Saccharomyces cerevisiae S288C: one gene and its partner. The gene in region 1 interacts genetically with each later gene. Each region holds a gene or a part of one and is shown on either strand. Other genes may lie near its edges. The genes, in order: NPP2 and IAI11.

Evidence for each region.
Region 2: mutations in NPP2 (region 1) and IAI11 together harm fitness more than expected from each alone (negative genetic interaction), as found in Saccharomyces cerevisiae (one large-scale study listed by BioGRID).

What each region holds. Positions count from the first base shown.
Region 1 is NC_001137.3:123,900-127,777, reverse strand, and holds NPP2 (nucleotide diphosphatase/phosphodiesterase NPP2), read left to right. Parts: upstream 1-1,559; coding exon 1,560-3,041; downstream 3,042-3,878. Other genes in the region: EDC3 (Edc3p), read right to left, coding at 1-1,149; GTT3 (Gtt3p), read right to left, coding at 3,108-3,878. UniProt on the Saccharomyces cerevisiae protein: Mediates extracellular nucleotide derived phosphate hydrolysis along with NPP1 and PHO5.
Region 2 is NC_001134.8:108,582-111,781, forward strand, and holds IAI11 (Iai11p), read left to right. Parts: upstream 1-2,012; coding exon 2,013-2,298; intron 2,299-2,367; coding exon 2,368-2,663; downstream 2,664-3,200. Other genes in the region: Arf family guanine nucleotide exchange factor YEL1, read left to right, coding at 1-1,414; CMC2 (Cmc2p), read right to left, coding at 1,544-1,839, 1,925-1,958; protein phosphatase regulator SHP1, read left to right, coding at 2,856-3,200.

The DNA of each region.
Region 1 (3,878 bases):
ATCCTGTAGTTCATTTTGAGAACATGTAAATAATGTTATGACACGGATATGCCCCGTTTGGCAAAGATGTCTACCCAACGCCAGAGCTTTCGCACCAGATCTGTTGGAATCTGAGGCTAGTATTACTACTAAAGGTTCCGGATTAGAATTTTGTAAACGTAAACGTGCACGGCCACCTAGTTTCTGCTTTAAGAAGAACGATGCGTTTACAGCAAAATTTTCTAGTAGCCCTGCCGAGTTAATACTGAAAAATTCGGACGTGATGCTCTCCATTTCTAGTAGTTGTACTGGTGTAGCCATAGGAATGTTCTGCTTAGTGTTCTTTGATCTGATGGTTGTTTGTTTATTTGCAGCTGGCAAGGATGTTGAGTTGGATCTTGACTGGCTGATGATCATCTGGCCTAATTTAGCTAGTACCTGATCCTTATCATTTATAACTGTACCTTTCGTTTTATCATTTATGGATGGAGAGTTAGTTGCAGAGTGAATTAAATGTGTAATATTCAAAGACTGAGTTATTGGTAGGTATTTGGGATCATCGATATCATCGACATCGTATTCATGTTCATCATCTTCCAAAACCAGATCATCTTGAGCATCTTGTTGCGGCTGAGATTGGTGTGTGCTTTGCTCATTTCTTGAAGAAATCTTGTTCCATGAATCTTTCTTTGCATCTGGAATAACCAATTCATCATTTTGATAATTATTTTGCTGCAATTGGGTTTGCTTTCTGTTATGTCCCTGTAATCTATTCTCCGGTAATATATCGTCATTTTGCTTTAATTGTGCGAAGACGTCTTTTTTGTTAAACATGCCCAAATTTCTTTGGAAATCGAAATCTTCCTGTTGTTTTATCTTACTAACATCATCATCTTGCCAATCAATATGTTCACCGCGATTTTGATTATAATCGTTTTGTTGCTGCTGTTGTCTTTGCTGCTTCCTTTTCCCGGATTGAGAGGCAACAGTTAGAACCTTTAAGTCCTTTAGCCTTGACGCCCTCACTTTGAAAGCTTGAGATTTACCACCATCGCCGAATTGAACGTCATTTAAAGTCAATCCTTTTGAGGTTGCTTTGGCAATTTTCCCCTGAATGAGCTTCCCATCTTTTAGCTCCACTTGTACTCCGAAACCAACAAATTGTGACATTATGGTTTCTTTTACGAATTACTGTATTGTCTTGAGAGCATGGATTTGCAGAAAAAGCAGTCAATAGTAGGCCTTTTGACTAAACTATTCGAGCTAACTATGTTTTCTTTCTATTTCTCAGCGATTGAAAAAAAAAAAACAAGCGGAAAAAGAGACGGGCTTCAAATCCAGGGTAATAAAATGACATAATTAATAAACAAGATGATTGCAGCTAATTACAATAGAGTGTAGCGACACTCGATAACTGGGTTGAGAGTTTTTCTATCAATTAGACGGTTTACTGTGCGTTGATGGAAGATAATTTAAGGCTTTATATGACTGTGACGCTTGATACCAGGGTTCATTAAACACGCAGGCCACAAAACAGTTTCGAAATAACAAAGAAGGCCATTTCGAAGTGTGCTTACGATATGCTTCTTTTCGAGCAACCTGTTGACCTTGAAAAAAATAATGAAGATGATACGAACATAAAACCTTTCGCAATATCACGACATTTTTTATTGAAACTTTTGCTTTGCGGTATAATACTCATTGAGTTGCTTTTATATTCGAAGTGCCCAAAACCTATTGATAATGGGCCCCGGACAATTGCGAATAGATCAAATACTTACTTCAACGGCACACATGATTTCAAGACGTTAACGATATTGATATCTATCGATGGGTTCCATCCGAGATTGATAGATGCAAAATACACGCCATTTCTTTACAACTTGCACAATTTGCGGTCCCCGTACGATATGAATATCACGACTGCACCGTATATGATCCCAAGTTTTCCCACTCAGACATTTCCCAACCACTGGAGCATGGTAACGGGAAAATATCCCATTGAGCACGGTATTGTTTCCAATATATTCTGGGATAATTTCACGAGTAGCGAATTTAGACCAAATAACCTCGACGCAAGAATTTGGAGCAACACGGCTGACCCTATTTGGCAACTACTGCAAACTGAATCGCAAGGCGAATATAAAGTGGCCACGCATATGTGGCCTGGAAGTGAGGTTGTGTATGAGGACCACGGGGATGTACCTAGGGAAAGAATGCCATTTTATTTTGGGAAATTCAATCAATGGGAAAAACTTCAAGATAAATTAGCTCAAATTTTCCGATACATAGATATGCCTCAGCTTAAAGATAGGCCAGAATTGGTCATAAGTTATATACCCAATGTTGATTCGTACGGACACAGTTTTGGATACGATTTACGAGATAAGCGGCTACAAAAGCTGATCGGTGAAGTCGATGGATTCTTTCTCGATTTGATTGAAGGCCTGCAAAAAAGAAACTTGTTGAAAATTAGCAATGTTATGATTGTTAGTGACCATGGCATGAGCAATGTCAACGCGAATGACGGTGAGCATGTTGTTGTGTGGGAAAGGGTGTTCCCGGCCGACGCAATGAGCGCATTTATTTCGCATCTTTATAACGAGGGCCCCATGATGATGGTATGTTTGAAAAACCCTCGAGACAAGCAATGGATTTGTGACTTGATTGAAGCTCAGTTAGAGAAAGCATATGGAGATGAAATATCGAGGAAGTTTCACGTGATCCTGAAAGAAGATTTCGACCCGAGCTGGAAATATTTCCAATACGATAACAGAAAGCACAGATATGACGATAGGGTCGGCGATATCTGGATTCTCGCAGATGAATACTACGCCATTGTAAAAGAAATGGGTGATGTGCCTATCGGCATTATGGGCACACATGGATACAACTTTAACAACTGTAGTGATATGGCATCTATATTCATTGGAATGGGTCCGATGTTCAACAATGAAGTCGTACCTCCATTTGAAAACATCGAAGTATACAATATGCTGATCAAGGCAAGTGCGCTTTTGGGAGAAGAAAAGACAAAGAAGGAGAAGAGTTTATTACAATAATACAGAGTAGTAAATACACACTTCGCGGCTTACGTACGCGTGTGTATACGTATGTAAGAAAATATACTATAATACGTATAGAGTGAGGAGACAACTAACCATGGAGAATACTAGAGGTACCATACCAAGGGAACGGTTCACTGTACAGAGTTGTGTCCATAGTTGGTTAACACATCGAAAAGAATGGAAATCTATGTTTTTATTATTACAAGTTTTGAAGATTGCCAAAGAAATCAAGAATTTCGTGAGATTGAAAGTCATCGGGTCCAACTCGATGTTCAGGTCGTAGCGGATGAAGTTGATGTAGTATGACACTAACGTTGGAATACCCCTAAAGAAGAGCAGCCACGTGAGTATTGGTAAACAGAAATCGAGCGTGTATTGATATTTATTATGGGCGGCAACGGCGGCTTCCAGCGACGATGCGAGCGAAGAAGAAGAAGTTGGCTGCCCGGCGGCTAATATGTTTCTCACCAGAAAAGAGAATTCCAACAAGGAAAAAATCGTATCGACGGCGGAAATAGTGGAAAGATAGTCCTGAACATTTTCATTCAATTTCTGCGTTTGGTATCTAATATCGGAGAGGTATTCCTGAAAGTTAAACTTGAACTTAGTAAACGCAGAGGTGGACGAGTCGTTATCTGTGCTAAAATCCAACAAATTGAAGTTCGTTTTGGCGTTTGAATTTGCATTCCTGCTGGAAAGCGGCTTTGTCGCGCTTGTTTCATCGCCTGATTGCGGTTTCTCATCATCATCCTCCTTGATGTACGCTTTCTCCAGATCGGAATCATTTGTGGCGGTGTCACAGGATCCAGACCCAGACCCGTTTCCAGATCC
Region 2 (3,200 bases), on another chromosome or scaffold:
TAAGTTTTCCATGGTTGCATTTATCAACAATACACTGAGGGCACTAAGAGAGGAAAATGAATACGAAGAATTGAAAATATACTCCCGCGAACATTTGATCATCGAAGAACTTTCCGAATACTATAAAACGTTAAATGAAACGCCTTTACCGTTATGCACAGAATCTAGAACATCAATAAATATATCAGATAACCAATCTTCCTTGAAAAGGTTCTCTACTCTAGGATCACGGGAATTTAGTACATCAAATTTACGTAGTGTTAACTCTAATTCTACTACACTATATTCAAGAGATGGTCAAGTATCTGTACGAGAAATGAGCGCAAAATCAAATAAAAACTTTCACAATAATCACCCCATGGATGCACTCTACCTTAAAGAGTCTTTTGATGACGGTTTAATTACCGAAAACGGCTCCAGTTGGTTCATGGACGATTTAATTCTTATAAGCAAGAAATCTTTACCACGTAAATATTCTAAAAGAGACAAAGATCAAGTGGCGGCACCAAAAATGACCTCTAAGAGAAACAAATCGTTCTTCGGATGGCTAAAACCATCTAAAACGACTACACTTATTGAGCACACATCTAGAAGGACTTCTTTATCGTATTTGAATAAGGATTCTGAATGGGAGAGGGTGAAAATACAGGTCAAGGAGGGCAGAATTTTTATTTTCAAAATTAAACCAGATGTTAAGGATATCATCCAATCAAGTGAAACAGACAGTGCTACCATCGACTATTTCAAAGATATCAGTAGCTCTTATTTTGCTTACTCACTGCTTGAAGCTGAAGCACATGTCGTGCAAGATAATATAATTATAGGTAGTGGAGCAATGAAATCAAATGTGTGTAACAAAAACACCAAGAGGAAAAGTGGCAACTTTACCGTTAGTTTTCCAGAGAATATCAACGGACCAAAGCTTGTTCTGGAGTTCCAGACGAGAAGTGTTGAAGAAGCCCACAAGTTTATGGACTGTATCAACTTCTGGGCAGGTAGGATTTCTCCAGTTCCTTTAACACAATTCGAAGCCGTATCTAACGCAGAATATGGATGGAGTGACAAGATCTTGACAGAGCACGCTTCCCTCAATCTTAAAAATATTGTTGTAAGTGAATGGAAGCCACTATTGGGGCTAGAGCTACTATACGAAGATGCGAAAGATGTAGAGATGGTCGAACTAAAAGAAAGGCTAAAGGAATTGATGAACTTCACCAGACAGCTTGGTATATGGATAGATAAACATAACGAAATAAAGGATAAGCTGGTCGAAATTTGGAGCTTTGACGATAACTATTTTGAAGCAGTCATGAATAATTGGAATTCGAGATATTTGTATATGAATAATCAATATAAGAAACGACTGAGCTACTTGAAAGCTTTGCAAAAAGCCATGGGTTCTGTTCAGTTCTAAGTATATTTAAAGATATAAATATAAAGACTGCGCTGAAGAAATATAAACTTGAAAACTGTACTCTGCCTTTTATTTACAAGGGATATTGAGATGATTTGTGTGAATGAAGTAGCGACAGAAAAAAAGCTTTTATTTCGAGTTCGCATCATTGTCACTTTCCTGCTTTTTCTTGGCGTACTGTCTATCTAAGATAGTCTTTAATATAGCGTCCTCGCCATATTCTTCTTCCTCAATTTTCTTCCATCTCTTTTCTACATCAGCTCTCTTTATTCTACTTTCAATGACAGCACGTTTCTTGTTATTCAAACTTGCCTCCTTGAGACACTTGTTCAAAGCATCCTTTTCGTTGTTACAAAGGCCAAATATTCTCTTGTAATATTCCTTTTGATGGCATTTATCGAGTGCATTGATGAAGTCCAAACAGGCTAAAATGAAGAAGGGGAGAATACAATGTTAGTAAGTCGGAGCACAGAAAAAGGCAAATATATGAAGTAAAATCTGGATACTTACAATGAAAACGTTCAGCTTCTAACTGTGGATGCATGTTGTAGTACTTGTCTTATCTTGCTTTTGTTCAACTGCACTTGTAAATCAGTGAATGTTATTGGACGCGCAGCGATTTTTTAATAGGTCTTTCTCTATTAATGTAATATGCGAATTGAAACATAATGTAAACACAAGAAGAAAATTCGAAATAAAGGACTGGCCAACAATAATGTTAGTGAGCAGAAACGACAAGCCCAAAATCAGTAGTGAGGAAGTCACACATTTTATAGACGACTATAAAAAGAGGAGGAAAACTCAGATGACACGATTCTTCGGAATCACTATTTTTACACTTATAACATGTAGAATTGCCATGAAGAAAATGATAACTGCAAAAGGTATGCATAGGCAATAACTTCGGCCTCATACTCAAAGAACACGTTTACTAACATAACTTATTTACATAGTGCCATTGAACACTTTTCAAGCAAACTACGCCAGCCGGACGCAGACAATAACACACACACAAAAGAGTCTTGCAGGTTCTCTTTTAGCGGCAACGGGCATGACACTAGGTATATTTGGTATGGGCATCACAGGGACATGTTGGAGCTGGGATGTTTCATCATTTCAGGAACTAAAGCAACGTCTGGAAAGGCGTGCCAACAACGAATTTGTAGTGACAAACATGCCTCTGGATAAAAGAAGCCAGCAAGTAGTGGACAGCTTAGTTAAGACACACAATTCATCTCTTTGTAAATAGTGTTATACCATAGTAGTAGTTTCAATAATATATTCCACTACTTATATGTGTTACCCGCATTAGAACTCTTATTGGTGGCGAAAATCGATGGCAATAAAGAACGGAAGGGGTTTAATAGTTGTATGCTTAACATATTTCGATTTAAATATATAAGAAACGTCGGTAGCACAACAATTAACTCATTATTTAGGTATGGCGGAAATACCTGATGAAACCATCCAGCAGTTCATGGCATTGACCAATGTGTCGCATAACATAGCCGTTCAATATCTCTCTGAATTTGGAGATTTAAATGAAGCACTAAATTCCTATTATGCTTCTCAAACGGATGACCAAAAGGATAGAAGAGAGGAAGCACATTGGAACAGACAGCAGGAGAAGGCCCTCAAGCAAGAAGCCTTCTCCACCAACTCTTCGAATAAAGCCATAAATACGGAGCACGTTGGTGGGTTATGTCCAAAACCAGGATCCTCACAAGGTAGCAACGAGTACTTGAAAAGGAAAGGTTCTACCTCTCCTGAACCAACCAAGGGTAGT